2 linked regions of the Drosophila melanogaster genome follow. The protein of the gene in region 2 interacts with the protein of the main gene of each other region in a biochemical or structural test. Each region holds a gene or a part of one and is shown on either strand. Other genes may lie near its edges.

Evidence for each region.
Region 1: of the proteins of Pgant35A (region 2) and Ten-m, one has a biochemical effect on the other in vitro, tested with the Drosophila melanogaster proteins (one study listed by BioGRID).

What each region holds. Positions count from the first base shown.
Region 1 is NT_037436.4:22,404,746-22,409,803, reverse strand, and holds the start of Ten-m (tenascin major), read left to right. Parts: upstream 1-1,940; 5' UTR 1,941-2,611; coding exon 2,612-2,912; intron 2,913-5,058. UniProt on the Drosophila melanogaster protein: Involved in neural development, regulating the establishment of proper connectivity within the nervous system. Acts as a homophilic and heterophilic synaptic cell adhesion molecule that drives synapse assembly.
Region 2 is NT_033779.5:14,357,303-14,361,914, forward strand, and holds Pgant35A (polypeptide N-acetylgalactosaminyltransferase 35A), read left to right. Parts: upstream 1-1,949; 5' UTR 1,950-2,077; coding exon 2,078-3,976; 3' UTR 3,977-4,109; downstream 4,110-4,612. Other genes in the region: Rab14, read left to right, coding at 39-152, 218-398, 453-635, 704-881. UniProt on the Drosophila melanogaster protein: Polypeptide N-acetylgalactosaminyltransferases catalyze the transfer of an N-acetyl-D-galactosamine residue to a serine or threonine residue on the protein receptor. Displays the same enzyme activity toward MUC1, MUC4, and EA2.

The sequences.
Region 1 (5,058 bases), on a different chromosome or scaffold from region 2:
CAATGAATTAAGCCATTTTTGAGTTATTTTTGAATGTTAACCCAAATGGTTCAACTTCAAAAAACTGCAAAGGTTTAATCCATTGCCCCTTAATTAAATATATGCACAACAAGCCAAGAATGTTTGTTCCTGTACGAAGACTCAGATCGAAACCTACGACAACTAGCCAAATCAGAAGTCACATTCCCCCTCGGAATCCACATCCTCCTGATAATATTCAATGTGTCAAGTGCAGGCGAGCAACGCTTCTCTCCCTTTCTTGAATGATGCTCAAACATTTTTGCATACAACAGGAAATTGATTTTTCATCGACAGCAAAGAAAATCGGGAAAGCAAGACTCCATATCCTATGCAAATACTTTCAGACTACAAAAAAATTTGCGTCACGCGGCGTTGCCACATTGCGAGACTCGGAAAAGAAATGACAATTTCTCCGGCATCTCTTCTTCTTCCCCGCCGTATCCTTCTCGTGCTGGGAAAGCTGTCAAAAAAGCTTCAGCAACAACTTCCGCTACATGGCAGAGAATTGCCTGCACGACGGGCTAGGGGGCGGTCGGTGGAGGCGGCAGGATGAGACCTGCGTTCAAAAGTTAAGCCATTAGCGAAATGTCCTTTACTTTGCTTATAACGCAATTTTCTGCTTCTTTTCTCGGCCATGGCCCCCTCATCACCTACCCACCCCACGCTGGCCACCATTGTTTGTTTCGGACACTTTTTGGCCAGGTCCGCTCGGTTCTGGCTTGGGTGCTGAATGACAACTTCACTTGTCAGCGATTTGAAACTTTTTCGCCTCCCCTCGCCGCCACTGACTAACTTTTCTAGCGCTAATGAAGTCTGAGGATATTTTTTGGCTGCGTGAAAATGCTCCACAGAATCTGACAGCATAATTAGTAAATGAAAAACTGTTTTGTGTAATTCCCAGGCCACAGGAGGTTCAGATACCTTGAAATACAAATTCCATTGTTTTTAAAAATGTAGTTTTTAATATTTTTGTGTAACCTGCAATTTATTCAATGCAAGCTGAAAGTTAAAAGTTTTCGGAGGTTTTGGAAAACCTAGATATTTTAGGGCAATATATAAAGAGAATATATAATATATATATAATAATAAATAATATATATTATATAATATATAATATATATAATAAAGAATAAACTAAGCTATCTTTTAAAGTTTGTACCTAATAACTTAAATACCTCCACATTTACATTGATATTTTATGGTATATGGTATATGGTATACGTATACGCACTTTTATGTAAACCGGTTAACAGTTTTGTAATAAAATTAACAGTGTCGGTGTTAGCCGCCGGTGAAGCTGTTATTACAGCGCTGTTGGCCGCCTCAGATAATCTTAACGAAACTGGCGTGCAGCACGATAGATTCGAATCCGCTGTACATCCATTTCCCCTTAGCCAAACGAAACGCACTTTTTAACCTTCAAACCAGAGATTCGATGAGTGCTCTCATTTGAGTGCTGCATACTCTTCTGGTTATAAAAAGGCTAAACATACCATTGAGAACAAATATTGATGGTAACTTAACAGAAGCACAAGAGTATTAAAAGTATATTATTATATTTCCTTGCATATCTTTTTCTATAACGCTGTCATAGACTGGAAATCTATATGATTCGGAGTGATTCTTTTGCAATTAAATTAACCTAAACTACATAAGTAGCACCTATTATTCTAGCAAAATAGCTATATTTCCAGCTAAGGCCAGACTATCAGCAAATTAGCTAAATGGACAACGCTGGTGCGCGACCGCTCTCTCTCTCACAAATCATGCGCAGTATCAGAATAAATGAGAGAGCGACGCATTTTAACTGAAAAAGAGAGAATATGAAGCATATTGTTTTTCTCTCATATTTGCAGCGACTTGCGCTCTCTAGCTCTCTCTCTCTCTCCCACAGACTCGGTTCGTCGTTCGTTTTGAGCTCATTCGTCTTTTGAAATTCGCCTCGCACGGTCGGAATTGTCGTCGCGGAAAATGTGGATATACGAAAAGTAGCGAAAACAGCGCGTTGCTTCAGTCGAAAAATATAGAAAATCGTCGGGAATCAGGCAGCGAATGATACCTGCGTCTAACGAATTCTGACATAGTTTTACGATCGTCGCGCAAACAAACACACCGCGTCAATTCAAAAACACCGTTTTTCCCGTCGCGTTCCTGTGCTCCCCATCGTGTGTGTCCCGTGTTTTCAGTGTACGACTACTGAAAAGGCCCAAGAAATATTATTGCGGCCTCGGCGGCAGATTGTGATTGAGCTGGGACCAGCAGCCCGCCCGCAGATTAACCGTCTGGAAATGGCCCAGTAGAAATGTTTTTGAGTGCAGTGCGTCCAGTGCCATCCGCAGCCGCATCCGCATCAGCAAGTGCATGAATAATCGCGAGTAGCCAAACGCATACCAAGTCTCTTCTTCCTGCTCCCGTGCGGAGTCCTCCTCCTCTTCTTCTTCTCCTGTCCGGCTGTCTGGCCAAAAGCCCCCAAGCCGCCAAGATTAAGTTCTCAAAGCAGCACGCCCATCACGCGTACCGCCACACGGACAACATCTACGACGGCGGCACGGACACGGACGACGACGAATGTCCGCTGGAGGCGACCGCCATGAATCCCTACGAGTATGAGTCGACTCTAGACTGCCGCGACGTGGGCGGCGGCCCCACTCCGGCTCACGCCCACCCACACGCCCAAGGACGTACGCTCCCCATGAGCGGCCACGGGCGGCCGACGACGGACCTCGGTCCGGTCCACGGCAGCCAGACGCTCCAGCACCAAAACCAACAGAACCTGCAGGCCGCCCAAGCCGCCGCCCAGTCGTCCCACTACGACTACGAGTACCAGCACTTGGCCCACCGTCCGCCGGACACGGCCAACAACACAGCGCAGCGGACACACGGAAGACAAGGTGAGTGAGTATGCCGACCCCAGTGGGCAGTGTGGTCAGTGGAATCAAACCGAAAGCTACAACTCCGGAATTTAGTGGCCCAAATAGAGCGTCTGGAAGTGATTTAAAAAAGTTTAGGATGTGCGGAAATACTTTACAATGCATAAATTGGATTAAATGAATTTGTAACTTAAATTATGTTTGGAAATCAGTGAAAAATATAAAAGCGTTTCTGATAAGAGTACCATGCTGCTTAAACATACTGAGATCCGTTTTCCATCGCTTTCGTATACATCACCGAATTCTTTGACAGACGTGCCTAAATCAAATGAGCTAATTGATATCAATATTTTAAGAAAATGGAGAACATTTGGTTATTAGCTACGTACGTTGAGAGAGGATAGACTGGTTCTAAAACCATTCATTGCTACTTGGCATTTGTGTATTTTTAGTATTAGTCAAAAAGTTAAAAGCAAATTATGTATGTGCAAAAGGATTCCAATGTTTCTCAAACGCAATTCAAGTGAGCTACCGTGTCATCTGCTAGTTACAGAAATTATTCCTTTTTTCGGTGACAAAATCGTGCGGGTTGCGAATTCCAGCAAGTTGCGACAAGTTTGAACAAATTACGCCCCTTATCGGCGAATGCGGCCAAACATTTTGCCTAAATTAAACAAATTAAGGCGGCAGTCCCAATGGGAGTGGGATTTGGACTTCGCCTGACATTGAGCCCGCTCTTGTTTCGCATTTCATAATTTCCCTTTTTCCGACTGAGCGCGTTTTTTCACGATTTGTCTGATTAATAAAGCGAGAGCCACAATAGCCAGCGCACAAAGCGCAGTTGAAAAGGATACTCTCTGTCAGCCGACAGGAATTAGGGGGAATCCCAGACGATGTCCCCGCTCTGTGAAAAAATGCCTGCGGCTGGAAAATGCTCGAGACTTCTGAGAGGAGTTGGGTTACAGTAGCCTGCCTGATTGTACACTGACAGAAATCAGGGCACTAAGTTATGTTGATATAGATTTTGAATGAAAATCGTAGTTACTTGGATACCCTCTTAATATGAGAACAGAATTTTAGATTCTTTACTTTTAACTATTGTTTTGATGACAATAGTTCACGTATTTAACTCTAGATTATGTTAGTTCGCTGCTATTATCGATTTCAGCCAGCCTCCTCGTAGCGTCTTCATGGCCACTCCCAGACCTATCCAATATTTTCGATCCCTGGACCTCGACCACGAGCAACCTAAACACAAATACATGCTCCGACATGCTTCAGTTTTATTATTTCCGACTCTGCTTCTTGGCATTTGAACTTACACATAATGCGGACTTACATAACTTTATTTCTGGCATTTCCCTTTTGAGCTCCGGTGCCCATTTTCCGCTCCTCATCTTCTTCATCCTCATCGAAGCCATCCCACCGCAGCCGCGCTTGCTCTTCTCCTGCCTTTCAGCGTTTTTGTGGTGTTATAAAAACAATTGCCAAACAATTGGAGCTTTGAAACGAAATAAAAATCAAATGGAAATCGAACCTGGAGCACACGAACGTGTGGGTGTTTGGGTTGGGCTACCTGGCAGCGGCGAAAGAATTGTAAATTTACAGCAACAAATAAATTTCGTAACTGGCAAACAATAAATTCCTGAGACCCGAAGACTTTTGCAGAATTTCTTTTCAGCTTTGGCGCAAGAAATGAAATTGAATAAAGTGGGCCAGGGGGGTGCGATTGGGGCGGGGCGGAGCTCGTAAATTTTCAACACTTCACCAGGCAGCAGCTTTTCCCGCCTTCCTGCTCCCCAGTGCCTGTCATAAAATTGCCAAAAAGCCAAAACAGGAAAGACGGAGAAGCAGCGGAAAATTCTTTGCCTCCCCCACTTTGAAGCTGTGTTGATGTGTGAAAATCCGCTCGAAGCTGAAGCACCGAAATTTCAATGTCTCAATGCTTTATTTGTCGGCCTGCCAATTAGCCAAATTAGGTCGAAAAAATCGGCCACTTTGCATTATTAAAAGCCAACCGCAGCCAGGTTCGAGTCCAACTCCAGATGGCCTCCAAATCCAATCACAAGCCCCGCCGTCATAATGCACAAGTTGATGGCAAAAAAGACGAGAAACACGCAACTAATTTCGAAAATGGAAGCTCCGCAAGGTCACCCCTGAATCGGAA
Region 2 (4,612 bases):
GCAATGTAATAATAATAATAATTTCGCTTGCTTTTTAGGTCCCAACATGACTGCAGCGCCATACAACTACAACTATATCTTTAAATACATCATCATTGGTGACATGGGCGTGGGCAAGTCCTGCCTGCTCCACCAGTTCACCGAGAAGAAATGTGAGTAGACTGTGCTGAGTAATAATGTATGTAATAAGAACTAATCTCTACTTGCCGTCCTGCAGTCATGGCCAATTGTCCTCACACCATTGGCGTGGAGTTCGGCACACGCATCATTGAGGTGGACGACAAAAAGATCAAGCTACAGATCTGGGACACAGCGGGTCAGGAGCGATTCAGGGCAGTGACACGCTCCTATTACCGTGGAGCAGCTGGTGCGCTGATGGTCTACGATATTACCAGGCGGTAAGCGAAGCAAGCTACTATTTGAGAAATTGCTTTACAACTTGACCATTCCAGCTCCACGTACAATCACCTGAGCAGCTGGCTTACCGACACTCGCAATCTCACCAATCCCAGCACTGTGATCTTTCTCATTGGCAACAAATCGGATCTGGAGAGCACTCGGGAGGTTACCTACGAGGAGGCCAAGGAGTTTGCCGACGAGAACGGCCTAATGTTTCTCGAAGCGAGCGCTATGACGTGAGTTTCAACTGGAAGCATAGTGTTTGAGCATATACTGATTATCTTTTTTTTTATCGCCCAAACAGTGGCCAGAATGTGGAGGAGGCTTTTCTGGAGACCGCACGCAAGATTTACCAGAACATCCAGGAGGGTCGGCTCGATCTGAACGCCTCCGAGTCCGGAGTTCAGCACAGGCCATCGCAGCCGTCGCGAACTTCGCTGAGTAGCGAGGCTACGGGCGCCAAGGATCAGTGCTCGTGCTAAATGAATGATGGAACCTAACTTTACGCAAAACCTAGTTATACAAATCAACTTTTATTTTTAGCCGACTCGTAATCTACCGATGCCCAAGCAAAAACCAATGTATGTAGTTAAATAATTCGATTAAGCATCAATGTGTGAGCCAACAACAGCGACAGCAACCACAAAAAAAAAAAAAAACAGAAAAAGAAAATATAAAGTCCTTTCGCTTAATAAGACGCAAGCATTGCAACATTTATTGTATCGGTTAAGCATAAATACTAGAAAATTAAACATGTTTGTTGGCGCAAACTAAAGTTTTGACCATGAAATTTCGAAAAGTTTATCGCACTAACACCATCCTTCGGTCTCAATTTATAGATGAATTCGTTTGAGATATAGATCATGTTTTTGTTGGCTGATGAATCCCTGTATATAATATATATATGTATGAATTTTTGTATCTCCCTAATTTTTTGTTGAGTATTTGTTGTTGTCGCGTGCAAGAATTGGAGGAAACGATCAATGTTATATGAATATTTACGATGTATTAATGGCATAATGCAATAGGAAATAAATAAAATGGTATTTATAAAACCCCTACCAATAGAAATGAATTTCTCTTTCAAATAATTTAAATTTTAATTTGCATATTTAACCATTCGTTTATATTTAATTCTACACCAAATCGCTGGATAATTTTATAATTTACCGGATTTCCATTTAATAGATTTAAATTTTATAAATATTTGGGTACTTACGATTTACTTAAATATTTTGTAAAAAGCTTTTTTAATCCATTTAGTGGAATACCCTCAACTTTGACTTGCGCATAACTTCATTCTTGTTTTATTTAGTGATGCTAACGTTGGGTTGGAAATCAGCTGATTATGACTATGAACAATAAAGTTTGTAAGTCAAACAACGATTTTTCGTATACTGTTCTTTTGTTTGTTGCTGGTTGTCTAATTAATCATTTTAACTGGTTATCAGTCCAATTTTTGTTTTCTACACTACACTATTCTACACTATTTTCGATTTCCTTGAAATTTAGCGGGAAAAACTCTGAGCTAGCATCTTCGGTGGCATCGCTGTGTGCGCGCTTTTGTGCGAATGCCATGGTATGCAAATTAAATTTAATTTATTCCGATCATCATGAAAGTGACAAAGTAGCTGCTTAAGTAGCCAGGGAAGCGCACAACGTAATCTAATCTCGATCCATGATGCAAATCAAGCGCCTCCTGTGCAAATCCTGCGGCCTGGGCACCCTTCTGGTGGCGGTCGTCTGGCTGCTGGCGCTGCTTTTCTACTCGCACAGCCTGCGCAGCTCCATCCGCTCGGCAGGATGGAGGATCGACGAAGGGAACGCAACGCCACGGGCCGAGCTGAGCTACCAGGCCAGGGTCACCGTCGGATGCACTCCAAATGCCAGCATTACCACTGGCGAATCGCCGGCGGCACCCAAGCCGCCCAGTGATCCGGAGCAATTGGAACTGTTGGGTGTGGTGCGCAACAAGCAGGACAAGTACATACGCGACATTGGCTACAAGCATCACGCCTTCAACGCGCTGGTGTCCAATAACATAGGACTCTTCCGGGCGATCCCAGACACTCGGCACAAGGTGTGCGATCGCCAGGAGACCACGGAAGCGGAAAATCTGCCCCAGGCCTCCATAGTCATGTGCTTCTACAACGAGCACAAGATGACGCTGATGCGCTCGATTAAGACCGTGCTGGAACGCACGCCCAGCTACCTGCTGCGCGAGATTATTCTGGTGGATGATCACAGCGATCTTCCAGAATTGGAATTCCATTTGCACGGGGATCTGCGTGCCCGCCTGAAGTACGACAACCTGCGGTACATCAAAAACGAGCAGCGCGAGGGTCTCATTCGTTCCCGGGTCATTGGTGCACGCGAGGCCGTGGGCGATGTGCTCGTCTTCCTCGACTCGCATATCGAGGTCAATCAGCAGTGGCTGGAGCCGCTGCTGCGCCTCATCAAGTCGGAGAACGCCACTCTGGCCGTGCCCGTCATCGACCTGATCAACGCTGATACCTTTGAGTACACGCCCAGTCCACTGGTGCGCGGAGGATTCAACTGGGGCCTGCACTTCCGCTGGGAGAATCTGCCCGAGGGCACGCTCAAGGTGCCGGAGGATTTTCGCGGACCCTTCCGTTCGCCCACCATGGCCGGCGGATTGTTTGCCGTGAACAGGAAGTACTTCCAGCATCTGGGCGAGTACGACATGGCCATGGATATATGGGGTGGCGAGAATATAGAGATCTCCTTCAGAGCCTGGCAATGCGGTGGCGCCATTAAGATCGTTCCCTGCTCCCGTGTCGGTCACATATTCCGCAAACGACGTCCGTACACTTCGCCAGATGGAGCCAACACCATGTTGAAGAACTCACTGCGTTTGGCGCACGTCTGGATGGATCAGTACAAGGATTACTATCTCAAGCACGAAAAGGTGCCCAAGACCTATGATTATGGAGACATTAGCGATCGCCTCAAGCTTAGGGAGCGTCTGCAGTGCAGGGACTTTGCCTGGTATCTAAAGAATGTCTATCCAGAGCTGCATGTGCCGGGCGAGGAGTCCAAGAAGTCGGCGGCAGCGCCCATCTTTCAGCCTTGGCACTCGCGAAAACGTAACTATGTCGACACATTCCAGCTGCGACTGACGGGAACGGAGCTCTGTGCCGCCGTGGTGGCTCCCAAGGTGAAGGGTTTCTGGAAGAAGGGCAGCTCCCTGCAATTGCAAACCTGCCGAAGGACACCCAATCAACTGTGGTACGAAACGGAGAAGGCGGAAATTGTGCTGGACAAGTTGCTGTGCCTGGAGGCATCCGGGGATGCGCAGGTCACGGTCAACAAGTGCCACGAGATGCTCGGCGATCAGCAGTGGCGGCACACCCGCAACGCCAACAGTCCCGTCTACAACATGGCCAAAGGCACCTGCCTCCGGGCAGCTGCTCCCACGACGGGCGCCCTCATCAGTCTGGATCTGTGCTCCAAGTCCAACGGAGCGGGCGGCTCCTGGGACATTGTGCAGCTGAAGAAGCCAACGGAGGCGGAGGGCAGGGCCAAGGAGGCGAGGAACTCGGACAAGGCGCTGTGAGCGATTCGCTCGGATCGAATAATTCCGATTGCAATATTAGACTGATAACTGTTTAGGGCAAAGTGTATTATGTTTAAATAGCCAGTATTTTTTCATCAAACTTTTTTTTTTTAATAAATATGATCAAAATGTTGATGGTGCAGTTTGATTAATGGCCAATGGTGGTGGCCTTGGAAACAGGTTTTCTTTCAAATAATTTGCAAATTAATGTGTACGAATATGTTATGTCTGCATATTTAATGATTTTGTGATGACTTATCAAAATTTAACTTAATTGTGAAAATAAATGTATGTATGTACCTACAATTTACCTTATAAATATGCTTCGTATTCGTAATACGAATATCTTATATCTGCATATTTAATGATTTTGTAATGACTTATCAAAGTTCAACTTTGAATAATGGAAATTTTTGGACCTTTACCACTACAATTTTACTTATGAATATATTTAGATAGTTAAATTCTTGCAATATAACACCTTTTTTCCATTTGCTGCAATTTCAAAACACAATTTTCAATACCGACTATCTGGTGGTAATAGAAAAACCACGTTTTTTTTTATGTATATGTGTTATGTATATATTTATAAAGAATAAAAACTTTGTTAACTATAAAATAAACCTAAGCTCGAAA